Drosophila melanogaster: one gene and its partners. The protein of the gene in region 1 interacts with the protein of each later gene in a pairwise test. Each region holds a gene or a part of one and is shown in the gene's direction. Other genes may lie near its edges.

The links. The genes of interacting proteins can lie anywhere in the genome.
Region 2: the proteins of Cwc25 (region 1) and CG10513 interact in a two-hybrid assay, tested with the Drosophila melanogaster proteins (one large-scale study listed by BioGRID).
Region 3: the proteins of Cwc25 (region 1) and Surf6 interact in a two-hybrid assay, tested with the Drosophila melanogaster proteins (one large-scale study listed by BioGRID).

What each region holds. Positions count from the first base shown.
Region 1 is NT_033779.5:2,743,257-2,748,297, forward strand, and holds Cwc25 (Cwc25), read left to right. Parts: upstream 1-1,841; 5' UTR 1,842-1,942; coding exon 1,943-1,960; intron 1,961-2,015; coding exon 2,016-2,238; intron 2,239-2,300; coding exon 2,301-3,625; 3' UTR 3,626-3,688; downstream 3,689-5,041. Other genes in the region: CG9961 (uncharacterized protein), read right to left, coding at 202-1,281, 1,348-1,456, 1,511-1,668; Pgk (phosphoglycerate kinase), read right to left, coding at 3,756-3,996, 4,055-4,999.
Region 2 is NT_033777.3:25,274,678-25,279,514, reverse strand, and holds CG10513 (uncharacterized protein), read left to right. Parts: upstream 1-2,302; 5' UTR 2,303-2,320; coding exon 2,321-3,389; intron 3,390-3,454; coding exon 3,455-3,654; 3' UTR 3,655-3,725; downstream 3,726-4,837. Other genes in the region: CG10514 (uncharacterized protein), read left to right, coding at 1-742, 805-1,010; CG11878 (uncharacterized protein), read right to left, coding at 4,349-4,545, 4,602-4,837.
Region 3 is NT_033777.3:19,902,553-19,906,948, reverse strand, and holds Surf6 (surfeit 6), read left to right. Parts: upstream 1-2,080; 5' UTR 2,081-2,160; coding exon 2,161-2,326; intron 2,327-2,380; coding exon 2,381-3,189; 3' UTR 3,190-3,284; downstream 3,285-4,396. Other genes in the region: RhoGAP92B (Rho GTPase activating protein at 92B), read right to left, coding at 1,062-1,318, 1,589-1,638; ClpX (caseinolytic protease chaperone subunit), read left to right, coding at 4,051-4,108. UniProt on the Drosophila melanogaster protein: Involved in a nucleolar function.

The sequences.
Region 1 (5,041 bases):
CAAATCTATGGAGGTAAAAAGATAGTTGGAAAGTAGTGCTGCACGAGATCGAGGCCCGCCCTTTTATCACGTTTTAACCGACTAATGTTATTCCACAATAAAAATAACTTTGTATTTTGAGAGACTGATTGTTTAAATTGTCCAAATTGAATTTAAGATACATGTACATATAAGTGGAATAACCATTGTAAAGCAGTGCGTTTAGGCATCCGAAAGAGCAGCCACTCCAGGCAGAACCTTACCCTCCAGCAACTCCAGGGAAGCTCCTCCACCGGTGGACACATGCGAGACCTTGTCGGCGCCTCCGAACTTCAAGCAAGCGGTGGCCGTATCCCCACCACCAACGATTGTGGTGGCTCCTCGGTTAGTGGCCCCGATTACTGCCTCCAGCATGGACTCGGTGCCTTTGGAGAATAGCTCGTTTTCGAACAAGCCTGGCGGTCCGTTCCAGACGATGGTTTTGGATGCACAAATAGCGCCAGCAAACATCTGACTGGATGCCTGGCCGTGGTCCAGACCCATCATGTCCTCCGGTATGCCCTGTGTGGCATCCACATGTTCCACTTTATCCGGCTCCTTGTCGATCTTATTGGCTATGACAAAGTCAATCGGAAATAGTATATTCACGTCCTTCTCCTTCGCCTTGCAGACTATGTCGTTGACCAACTCGGATCCCTTCTCGTCGAAGAGGGACTTTCCAATCTCCATGCCATTGAGCACTTTGAGAAAGGTGAAGGCCATGCCACCGGATATGATCATGGCCGTTACATTGTTCAGGAGGTTCGTTATCAGTGGAATTTTATCGGCTATCTTGGCGCCACCCAGAATGGCCAAAAAGGGCTTGGCCGGATCGTGGAGAACCTTGGCAAAGTACTCCAGTTCCTTGTCCAGCAGGAAACCAGCCGCTCGCACCTTGTAGCCATCGCCCATCATGGAACTATGCGGACGATGTGCTGTTCCAAAGGCATCGTTCACATAGATCTCGCCCAGCTGCGCCAACTTGGCTCGGAATTCCTTCACCTTCGCGGGATCTGCTTTGACCTTCTTCTTGTTATCGTCCTTGCTGCTGCCCGTCTCCTCGGCATAGAAACGAAGATTCTCCAACAGGAACACAGTGCCGTCGGAGGGATCCTTCAAAGCTCTCAGGGTGCTATCACCCACGCAGTCGTCCAGGAATTGAACCGGCTGGCCCAGCACACTCTCCAGCTCCTTGGCCACGGGTTCCAGGCTAAACTTTTTGTTCTTTTTGCCATCCGGACGCCCCAAGTGGGATGCCAAAACCTAGGCAAAAAATTAAGTTATTCGTTCTATACTTTTTAGGAATTGAAGGAAGATATATCAACTCACCAAGGACTTACATTTCTTGTCCAAGGCATATTTAATACTGGGAAGTGCGGAAACAATTCGTTGGTTGTTGGTTATTTTGCCATCTTTCATGGGTACATTAAAGTCCACTCTAAAAATAAATTTATAAATCACACACTAAAACATATCTGGCAAGGATACTCACCTCATAAAAACCCTTTTCCCAGCCACATCTACATTTTTTAAGCTCAACTTCTTTACTTGCTTTCCATTGCAATCGTCTTTGCTAAAAAATCTTGGAAATCTTAATTTTGTAAATCGAGTTTGAGCTCTTTGGTATAAACTCTGCCGAATTGGAAGCATATTAAATAAATTTATTACCTGTTTTTGACTGAAAATACAATGCACGATGAGGAAGTAATTATGAAAATAAGTAACTAAATTAACTATTTTCAATAATTTTCGAAAAAGTAAAAGAAAAATGTAACCCTATGGCAACACCAAGTTAAATTACTTCACCACGATCTGGCAGCCCGGGCGAACATATGATTTTGTTGAAAACAACAGAAAAGGAGGGAAAATCTGGAATTGTTTGTAATTTGTTTGTTTTGCTGTTAAAACGCAAATCAAACCCAAGATGGGTGGCGGAGATCTAGTAAGTAATGTCTCCCAACTGATTATCCGTCAATTACCATTGATTTTTCCCGCAGAATCTGAAGAAATCATGGCATCCGCACACGATGAAAAACCAGGAGCGCGTTTGGAAGGCGGAGGAGCAAGCGAAGATGGAGGAGCGCAAGCTGCAGGATCTGCGCAAGGAGATCAACGAGGAGCGGGACAGAGAGGAACTAAGGCGATTGGGCGAAAGTTCCGGAGTGCTGAGCAATAATGGCGGAGCCGCCGGCGAGGCCAAGCTGGAGTGGATGTACAAAAGTGAGTCATACATGTGAAACTCTTATAAAACTCATTATCCATACATATTTATCTTGCTCCAGACAGCACAGAGCTGATCAACCGCGAGGAGTACCTCCTGGGCCGTAAGATCGACAAGTCCTTTGAGACGCTGCAAGCGGAGGAAAGCCGCCAGGAGCAGAACACAGTGGGTCTCAAGCAAACGATCAACCATGTGGAGCACGACTGTGTGCCCTTCTCCATCCGGACCTACCGCAATGTGCAGTCCAACGAACAGGTGGACATACAGCGCAAGACCCTCGAGGATCCCCTGATGCTCATCAAGCAGCGCGAAATGGAATCCCGTCGAAAGCTGCTTGAGAACCCCGTCAAGCTGAAGGAAATCCATCGCATTCTCAAGACTGAACAGGAACAAAAGGCCGCAGAGGGAAAGAAGAAGAACAAGAAGAACAAAAAGTCTAAGAAATCCAAAAAGAAGAAGAAGAACCGACGATCCAGCAATGAGGAAAGTAGTGACAGCGAGAGCAATGATAGCGACGATGACTTGGACAGAAAATTAGCCCGCCAAGTGAGCAAACTCAAGGGAGACCAAGGTGACCTTAAACTGGACAAGCTGCTGGACGCCAAGTACCGCACCATTTCAAATCAATTAGACATGGCCACCAAGAAGAAAAAGAGCAAGAAATCCAAGAAGAAGAAAAGCAGCGATAGCAGTGACGAAAGTAGTGACGAAGAGGAAGAGCCAAGGAGAAAGCACAAAAGGAGCCACAGCTCAGAGGACAGAAATCAGCGAGAAAGACGCAGGAGTAGAAGCCCCCGGGATAGAAAAAAGCGACAGAGTAGAAGTCCGGAACAAAGGCAAAGGCAAAGGAGTCCAGAAGAGAGAAGGGAAAGGCGCAGGAGCAGGAGCAGAAGTCCCTTAGCGAGAAGACAGAGAAGAACCAGGAGCCCAGAGGACAGAAAAGCCAGACGTCAAAGCAAGGACACTTCAAAGCAGCGCGAGAAACGCAGGAGTAGGACACCTGAAGAGCGTTCCAGATCAAAACGCAGCAGGAGCCGAAGTTCCAAAGGAGATGACAAGCGAAGGATTGCCGAAAGACCGCCTCCCAGCCGTCCCACCGGCAAGCCAAAGTTAAGCGAAGCCGACCGAGAAGCTCGCCTGCGCGAAATGATGGACAACGCCACTTGGAGAGAAGCGGATCGCAGCCAGGTGGTTCGCAAGCACCGAGAAGCATACGCGCGCGAGGAGGCCCAAAATCGTGAACGAGACTTCGACAAGGAGTTCATTAACAAGGAGGTGAAGAAGGCCATTGCCAACCATAACTCAATTGGCGATCGCATCCGGGCCAATCTCAACAACATACAGCGCACCGCCTCCTCAATGGACAGCAACTTTGCCCGCAAATAAACTAGGATTCCTTTATTTCGTATGCATTATATGGTTCCGCAACAAATAGATTCAACACTTTTTAACGTCGTGGTTTGTGCTTACAAGGTAAACGATGCGATTAACATTAATATACCGTATATATGTACGCTTAGGCGCTGGTCAATGCAGCCACGCCTGGCAGTGTCTTGCCCTCCAGGAGCTCCAGCGAAGCGCCGCCTCCGGTGGAGACGTGCGAGACGAGTGCCTCCGTGTTCCACTTGGCGCAGCAAGAGGCAGTGTCGCCGCCGCCGATGATGGAGACGGTGCCGTTCTTGGTGGCGGCCACCACGCCGTCCATGATGGACTTGGTGCCGTTGGCGAAGTTGGGGAACTCAAAGACACCGGGGGGTCTAAAATGGGAAAACCATTATAGGACATTTGGAGAAGTAGCTTCAGTGTGACACCTACCCGTTCCACACGATGAGCTTGGCGCGTGCGATGGGTGCCGCGAAGAGCTCACGGGTCTTGGGACCCACATCCAGACCCATGTGTCCATCGGGAATTCCGGCCTCCACGGTGGCCTCGCTGACGGCAGCGTTCTCGGCGAACTTGTCGCCGCAGACAAAGTCCACTGGCAGATGCAACTGCACGTTATTCTTCTTGGCCTTCTCCACCAGTTTCTCGACGATCTTGGAGCCCTCCTCGTCGAACAGGGAACCGCCGATCTTCATGTTGTTGAGGACCTTCAGGAAGGTGAAGGCCATGCCGCCACCGATGATCATCTCGTTGACCTTGTCCAGAAGGTTCTCAATCAGCTGGATCTTGTCGGCCACCTTGGCGCCACCGAGAATTGCCAGGAAGGGATTTGGTGGCTTGTCCAGGGCCTGCGAGAAGTACTTCAGCTCCTTGTTCAGCAACAGACCAGCTGCGCGCTGCTCGAAGCCATCGCCCATCATGGAACTGTGGGCGCGATGGGCAGTGCCGAAGGCGTCGTTGACATAGACATCGCCCAGCTTGGCCAGGCTGGCACGGAACTCCTTGACCTTGGCAGGATCGGCCTTGACCTTGCCGCCGCTGGCATCCAAGCCCTTGCCCTCCTCCTCCACGTAGAAGCGGACGTTCTCCAGCAGAATGACGGATCCCGGTGCGGGATCCTTGCAAGCGGCCTCCACTTCGCTGCCGACGCAGTCACTTAGGAAGATCACATCCTGGCCAAGCAGGGTCTTCAGCTCAGCGGCCACGGGTGCCAGGGTGTACTTGATGTTCTTGTTGCCATCGGGACGACCCAAGTGGGACATCAGCACCACCGACTTGGCTTTCTTGGAAAGGGCCAACTTGATACTATCCAAGGCAGCGACAATTCTCTGGTTGCTGGTGATCTTGCCCTCCTTGATGGGCACATTGAAGTCGACGCTGCAAAGAAGCACGGGCAATGTTTATGCAACTGAATTTCAC
Region 2 (4,837 bases), on another chromosome or scaffold:
CTGCCCAAATGCAGGGAGCTGCTTAATGAGATCGGAGATACTGAAAGGATATTTCCCACGGCCATCTATGTGGATCGCGAGCGTATGGCCATTATCTTCGAAGATCTTTCTGTGGTGGGCTACGTAATGGCCGATCGAGTGCGTCGCCTCAACGAGGAGCACACTCACCTCATCCTGCGCAAGTTGGCCAAATTCCATGCCGCCACAGCGGTCTTGAACGAGCGACAAAGTGGATGCCTCGAAAGTTACGATCGTGGTTTCTTTAATCGCTATACAAACGCCTACAGTGGCTACTTTGTGGGTGGTCTGCTGGCCGCCGCTCGCTGGATGAGCAAGGTGCCCACGTTGGCCCACTACGGAGAGAAGCTATTCGCTTTGGCTCCGCACTACATGGACATCGGCAGGGAGTGCTTTGCACCCACTCCGGGTCAAGTTAATGTTCTGGCCCATGGCGATGTGTGGACCAACAATGTGATGTTCAAGTACGATCCGAATACGGGACGACCCGTCGATGTGCTGCTCATTGACTTCCAGTACTCCTTCTGGGGCTCCCCATGCATCGATCTCCATCACCTGTTCAATACTTCTCTAAAGGAGCCACTGCGTAGAGATCAGCAGAACGGGCTCTTCCAGTTCTACCACAAGATATTCACTGAGACGTTAGAAAAGCTCAACTATCGTCAAAATCAGATTCCCAGTTTGCATCAGTTTAAATTGGAGGTGGAGCAAAAGAGATTCTTTGGTAGGTGGTATATTTAATCACAAAATGTAATTTCTTTTTAAATAATTGTATATTCTTTATAGCTTTGCATTCTACGGTAGTGGTGCAGCCAGTTATGATTAGCCAGGATCCCACGGATGCCTGTTTCAATGCCTTGATGAACGATGATGAGCGTGGCATTCGGTTTAAGAACCGATTATATAACAACCCTACAGTTCAACAAAATTTACATTCCCTGGTTCCCTTCTTCGATAGAAAGGGACTGCTGGAAGTTAACCAGACCTGTTAAGAGATTATTAGGATATGTTTTATTGGGCTTCCACGTTTTATGTCTATAAGTTTAAATAATAATAAACAATCTCATTTTAAATTAAATGTTTATCTCTGTTATGGGATATTTGACTTTCCAAAATTCAAGGGACTAGTGCAATACGGTTGGGACATTTTTGATCTGAGACATAAAATGGCCAACATGTCGTATAAGCTATTTTTAAAACATTGAGATAAGAATAACACTTGTGTTCTCATAAGTGGGTCATAATAATTTTTGGTATAAAATCAAAAAGCAAAATAATGTATCGTTCCTAAAAAAAATTAAAGAGAATATGTAAGACATGTTTTGAATCTGACATATGTAATGGATCGTTTTTTATTTATTTAGGTGCATTATCTCCAATTGACAATATCACAATTTTTAATTTATTAATGAGAAAAGAAAGAAAACGGATATGCGTACCTAATAAGTTGACCATCAAAGAAATTCTCAAGTTGGAAGGTATGTTACAGAATACATTCAGCAGGAAAACAGAAAAGGTATTCGCTCAAAAGTAGGCAGTGCCGTATTCAAAGCTCCTCTTGAAAATAAACAGATCGTAAATCCTCGAACAGATGAAAATAAAAATTCTGTTGCTAGATAAAGGAAGACCCGACATATATACAAATGTACATTCAAGATTGTTATCGGCTACACCTGAAAGTATGCAGGGGAAATCTTATCTCCTCTACCCATTATCTTGGCACTTGAAAACTTGTTTAACTATTTTCCTTCTGGGCTATTCTGTTTCGAAAATCCTTGTGAAATTCAAAGTTTCCGACTGATTATTATAAATACGTAGAACGTTAAATACTAGGAAATAAAAAACGAAACCATTGTAAGTCTGTAAATAGCTTAACTATCCGGCTCAACTATGCAAATGGATGGACGGCAGATGGATTTATGGGCTGTGAAGTAGATTAGTTTGACGCGAGCACGAGAGCGATCTTTAGACGCCACGTCAGCACCATTCGGCATGAATTACGGCGGGCACACTTACATCATATATAGGAACGTGCACCGATTTGCGAGATGTGGGGGTGTTATCTCACCCTGTCAAGTGTCGCGCTCCGAGATCTGCTTCTATCTAGTCAGCTTTAGATACTCACGAATCTCTGTCGTATGAATCGAAATCCACGGGCAGCAGCTACGTAATTGTCTGAGCCAGCTTGCTTTACGGCTACCATAATGTGGGATCTGTTGTCGGCGAGATTGCGTCTTCCGGCTGCCTATAAATGGGGCCTTCGACTGGACCAAGTGATCCAGAACACAAGTCGAGCATCATCATGGTGGAGCAGGGCAAGGAAGACGCTACCGAATTTCATCCGGCGCCAGAGTGGCTAGATGAAACCTACTTGGAGCGACTGCTCCGGGATTTGAAGAATGATCCGGGACTGAGGATCACCGATTTGGTGATCAAGCCCGCCACTGCCAAGGGTGACAATTATGCTAGTGTGATGACACGCGTGCGGATTTTGTTCTTGAAAAGTGGCGCCAAAAGCCCCGAGACTGAATACTATATTGTGAAGACCACCTATGAGAACGATGCCTTCGCCTCTGGAATATTTTCCCAGTACCAGGTTAGCACCACGGAAATGCGTATGTACGAGAAGATCCTGCCCCAATTGAGCTCGCTCATCGAGAAGACTCGCCAGCCGGAAAAGGTTTTCGCCAAGACATTGCATGTGGACTACGAGCACGAGGCCATCATCTTTGAGGACCTTGCGGTGACGAAATATGTCCTGGCCGATCGTCTGGTTGGTTTCGATCTGGAGCACACCCGCTTGGGACTCCGAAAGCTGGCCAAGATGCATGCGGCCGCTGCTGTTCTGAACGAACGTCAACCCGGATTGCTGACCAAGTTCGATCACGGCATCTTCAATCGCCACACCCAGGCCTTTGCACCCTTCTTTGTGAATACGGTGGGCGTGGCGGCTGACTTTGCCAGGGAGTGTCCCGAATTGGGTGAGCGGTATGCTACCAAATTGAAGAAGCTGCAGGAACGTGTAATGGAGTACTCCACAAGAGTTTACGATCCCCAACCGGGAGATTTTAATACATTGGTGCACGGTGACTACTGGGTGAACAATGTGATGTTGCGCTACGGCGAAAATAAGGAGCCACTGGACATGACTCTCATCGACTTCCAATTCTGCAGTTGGTCCTCGCCGGCGGTGGATCTGCACTACTTCTTCAACACTTCGGTGCAGGTCGATATTCGCTACGAACAGCAGGATGCCCTGTTTCAGTATTATCACACGGTGCTCGTGGAAACGCTTAAGGATCTCAACTTTGGTGGCTACATTCCCACATTGAGGCAGTTCGTCCTGCAGCTCGAAAGGGGCAGATTCTTTGGTGAGTCCCATCTGGAATGATTTTCAAAAACCCATTATAATTGTTTATATTATTGTATCTAACAGCTGTCACAGTCGCTCTGGTCTGCCAGGCCATATTGACCAATGACCAAAACGCCGATGCCGACTTTAATGCTTTGATGAAGGATGACGAACGAGGCCGTAACTTCCGGAAGGTATTGTACACCAACAAGAGGTTGCAGGACAATCTCAAACGCGAGCTGCCACGCTTCGATCGGAGTGGTCTACTAGACGTAATTGACTGAATGGAAGCCATCATATACTACGAGTATTTGATAAAAAATAAAAACAAATTTTATTTTGAAGTTAAAACCATATGAAAAGCAGTTCATTTTTATTGCAAGTTGGTAAGCAATAAGATTAGAAATAGAACACACAATGGTTCTATTGTAAATGTTTGTATTCATAAAACTATATTAAATGTGACGTTTTAAAGCAAACGATAAGCGGGCCAACGGTGCGTATGAGTTATAAGGGGGACGCAACAATTCACTTACAAGTTTTTTCCTCAGTAGTACACCTTGACTTGTTAAATACATTCGTATTCGTATTTATTTGTTGTAGGTAAATATTAGTTTCTTTTATTAGCTAAAACATCTGCGGCTTATCTTTTGGCGTATCGCGATTGTTTCTATTTCACCACGATTCAAGGGCTTGTAATTGTTATCTTCTGAGATTTTTAGTATTGCTTGCACCTTTTGTTTGTCAAGAGTTTAGCACTATCTTGCCGAAATAAACTCGAAAGCGCTATTATCAGTCATGAACACTGTATTTCATATAAAAAGGTCAGTTATTGCCGAATTACACACATAAAGTGCAATCAAGCTATTAGATAAGTATTTTCCCAGGAAATTAAAAGCAACGACGTAGTTGAGCCAATACGTAGTAGTACTTAAACTTTTATTTATTTTAACTATTTACACAAGTTCAAGATTATCATTACATGTCATCCAGCAATCCAAACTGATCCAGAAAAGGCAGTGTGACACTTAATTTCTTTTTTATATTTTCCGATTCATAAACTGAGTTCTTGAATCGCATTCCACTCTCGGAACTGGATAGGACCTGCTCAATAGAAGCATCCTCTTTGCCCTCGTACTGCATGACAGGCTCAAAAATCAAGGAACAGAATACGGCTGCGGATAAATTATTTAAAAAACTATTTTGAAAGAGAGTTAAGAACTGTACCCACCATAGAATCCTCTCGAGCGGAACTGCAGTTGGAAGTCGAACAAGCTGGGTATCCGACCAGCATATTTTAACTTCCTTAGGGCCTCCGTCAGCCTATAGTAATAAAACTGAACCAATTCTGTTTGATGTTCCAAGCGAAGATTATCCTGCAACGAGGTGGAGAAGAAGTAGTGGAGATCGATGGCCGGCGAGTTCCACACGCTGAACTGGAAGTCAATGAAGATGGCATTCGTGGGA
Region 3 (4,396 bases), on another chromosome or scaffold:
CAACTGCGGCAGAACTGGCAATTGCAATTGACGCACACGCATCTGCGAATATGTGGAATGCAGAGTGCCTGAAAGGGGGAAACAGCGAATGGAAATAATACAGGCAAATAAAAATAACACTCGGAATGAGTAATGCGACCTAGGGGGAGCGCCCACCAAATAATAATAAATGAACAGCGAAGAAGAGATCATGACGATACGATGATGTATGAATTTGGCCCAGACTTTTACTTTTACTAGCCACAGCTAGCCAAGCAGCTAGCATAATTATCGCCGTTTACCGGGCTTTGTTATGCCACTTCGCGCGCGATGTGTAACAAATTTAAATGAAATGCATAGTGAATCGGGCAGTGAATTGTATGGAAGCAGGGCAATAAAAACGGGCGCCAATGGGGGCGGGCTAACTTGGCTGGCAAAACAAAAAGGTGTATAAATAGACAATGCCGAAACCGCAAATAATAACCAATACCAATACTGCGGGCGAACGGGCTGCGAAAGAAAGCGGCGAAAAAGTCATAATAAAAATTATAATAATGATTAAAAAACGCCGTCGATGTGGATGTCGATGTTGATGTTGCCGTTTGCAGTTGAGAAATGTAAATGCCACAAGGCCAAGCGACAAGGCGAGGCCGCCAATACACACAGACAAACCGAAGCCCGTGACACAGTCATCCACTGTAGTGTGTTCTCCAAGCCCCCTGCGAACCCGTACTCGTGTTCGTGTGCCATTGTGCATGTCTGGCGGCGATTATCGGATTTGGAGCGAACGACAACCACTGTGCGCCTTATCAGCAGCGACAACATGACACCCACCAGGGCCGTAGGCATGGCTGATTGCCGCTGCAAGGAGGGGCTCTCAGCTGGGAACTATTTTCAGATTGTAAGAAACATCATATGGATGTTTAAGCTAACATGCTAACAAACTATGATAAGCTAGGTACCTAAAGCAATATCAATATAATCACTTGATGAAGAACAAATTCTGTAACTTCCCCCTCTGGCGAATGACCGCCTACGCAACTGCCTGCCTCACTGGAAATCCCGGTTGCCCGATTACTAACCGCAATTGGCGAGGACCTTCTGCAGCGGCATGTCCTTGGGCAGCTCCTTGGCGGACTCGTCCAGAGCCTGGGCAATCTTGTAGTGACTGTTCTTCTTGGTCCGCTTGTCCTGCTCCTCGCTGCTCCCGCTTCCACTTCCGCCTCCGCCGCTCAGCGCCGGCAGCTTGCGGACGATCTTCTCGATGGTGTCCCGGTATCTGTCCACCTGCCGCTCGATCGCCTCCAGCTCCGAGTCCTTGCTGTCCGACTTGCTCGATCTGCGAATGCGAAAAGGACCATTTTGACACGGGTTTAGCACGGGTTAGGTCATCATCGGCAGTCCACTATTGTTACGGCTGTCATCGCGCTTTGTTATTGATGCAGTTGCTCTGTGGCTGCTTCTCTGCTGCTTTTGTTGTTGTTGCTGCTGCTGCTGTTGCTTCTTTCGTGATGAGGCAACACACACCTGTCTGTCCACCTGGAGCGCACTTACACAAACACACACCCACAGACATCCGACCGACAGACTGGCTGGCCTTTGAACTTACCTTGACAGATTTTCGGCTGCTATTTTGATTTTGGCAAACTGCCTCTTCATCTTGGCTGATTCGCTGGTGCCGCTCGCGTCTCCAACTTGAACTGAACTGCTGTGTGTTTGTTTGCGATGTGCAATTAGCTGGGCATTGAGTAAATACTTAAAACAGGCAAATTAGTCATTCTTCAACGATGTTTTACGGAAAAGTGAGGCGGGTGTGACCGCAGCGGGAGCGCTGGGAAATGACAAAAGGCTGGAGAGCGCCTTTTTCGAAAGTTCGTATTTGGTAACACTGTTTGATAAATGCCTGTTGAGATTTCTCAGAGCTTAGGCTAGAATTATGAATTTAAGCAATGGTTAATTAATGTTTATTAAATTTCAATCTCCTTTAATCTGAAACCATTGCTTAAATTCGCTGAATAGGGGAATACCCCTTACTACTTGTAGCGGTACCAGACATTTGCGCTAGGGTAACCACTGTCGAAAACACCCGAATTCTGTGGGGTCACACTGAACTCGACCGCCTTGCTTAGCTGCACGTGTGCGTGCGTAAATAATAGTTTTATTGTTATTTTACTCTCGAAAATGACCCAGGCGGAGATCGTGAAATGTCTGCGGGAGGAGTATGAAATCGAACACAACAAGGATCAGAAGCCGGAGAAGGAGGACCTGCCCGCCATCACCAAAAAGTTCTATCAGCGAGTCTTGGAACTGCTGACCATTCACAAAGTGCCCTACTCCAAACAAGAAGGTGAAACCATTAATGAAAAGCCTTAAATCTTTAACTTTATCGTATTTCCTACAGATGAGGAGACCTACGAAGAGTACCTGCTGTCGGACACGGAGGAATCGGGAAACAAGAAAAAGAAACAACAGGGAAAACTGAAAAACCAAGACTCCGACGACGAGGATGTAGAGGCACGCATTGCCTCCATCAAGAACAAGCTGCGCCAGAAAAAGGGACCCACAACGGAGCGACAGCAGAAGCGACGCGAATCTAAAAAGCTTAAACGCAGCAAGGGCGTCCAGAAACTGCTCCTCTCCTCGGCCAAAAACCTCAAAAACGAGAACGTCAAGCACCAGAAACTGAAGAATGGCGTGGTGAAATCAGAACAGGAGACGGAGGACAGCAAGGAACAGATCCAGCCGGTCAAGGTGCAACCGGTTTACAACCAGGAGGCCAAGATCGTCTACTCCAAGGTGGACTTTGCCGCCAATCCTGGAGGCAAAGCCAAGAAGTCTCACCAAAACCCCAAGGAGATTCTGAAGAAGCTGCGCGACACCAAGAAGCACCTAACCGAACTGCGCGAACAGGGCGAAACGGACAAGGCGGCGGAGATCCAGACGGACATCGCCTGGCGCAACGCATTCGACAAGGTCGAGGGCAAGAAGGTCAAGGACGACACCAAGCTGCTGCAAAAGGCCATCAAGAAGCGGCGCGTGGAGAAGAAGAAGTCCAAGACCAAGTGGACTGAACGCAAGCAGAAGGTGGAGCACGACAAGGAAAAGAGGCAAAAGAAGCGACAGGAGAACCTGGAGAAGCGCAGCAAGGACAAGAAGAACCGGAAACTAAAGACGGCCAGCAAGAGGGGTCGCATCATACCCGGCTATTAACTATGCTTACTATAGCCCTTAAGTGTAAAGTAGTGTAAATGTATGCCACGTTGAAATTCAACTCAGAATGCTTTAGAAAAAAAGTGATCTTTCTGAAATTTACGTTTTTATACTTTCGTGTTAGAAATTTACTTTTCCGGCCTCGACACAGTCAAAATTCCAGTAGACAGCTAAATTCCCAGTTCCAAGCCACACTATTTGGCTCCTCGTTTTTGTCCACTTTGTGTCACTTTGTGTTCCACTGTGCGTTGCGCGGCTTCACCAAAGATTGGCAAGAAGAAGAACGGCGAACAGCTGAGACCGATAACAACAATCGATTGATATCGTAATCGTTTAGTTGGATTGCTGCGATTTTTCCAGATTTTCCGAGTACTTACAAGAGACAAAAAGTGGATCAGATAATGCTGGAGACCCTAGAAATTTGTGGATCTTTTAATACAGTATAGTGACCGATTTGGCAAGAAGAAGCAGAGCGAGTGGGGCAGCCAAAACAACGAGAATCACACGCACGCACACAGCCACAAAAATTACGTGCAGAGCGCAATCTATTCCCCCCATTTTCCACCGAAAATACAGCAAGGCAGGCGGAAAATCATCCAAATTGCGACGCACTTTGGCGAGCGACGGATAACCAACAAGTGGATATAGAAAAGCAATCCCTGCAAAGCGAGGCATCCCCAGCAGAAGTCACAACAATAACTTTGCAGATCAGCAGAGCAAGAAGAAGAAGCGGCCGCCAGCTGAGTAGCAAATCGGTGCAAAGCAGGGGCGCAGGGGAATCCGAGTCCAGGAGCAACTGCAGCGGGCGCGGAGGAAGCGGTAGACGGAACAGAGGCACAGAGGCGGCGGGCAGCAGCCACCATGAGCATGGTGCGGCGGATTATCCTGCTGGGCCCCAAATACAGTGTGTGGGCAAAGGGTAAGTGCTGTGCCGTCTTGTTGTTGTGCTGCCAATCGCATACGTAACTGCGTCATTAGCCGTGAATCGACAACAACTGGCAATGGCAACTAAAAAACAGCCTGCAGTTTACCAATCTGCATCGTAATCCCAACGCTCCCCCCGCCATTTGGCTTATCAGAATTTTCTAGCTTCGGTGCTCGCTGACACTTGTCTAGTGTCAAACAACCAAAACACTGAATGAAGGTCGTCTTCTTTTGATACCAAAAAGCTGCTGCTCGCGGTCAACGGGCCACAGTGGCGTCGCTG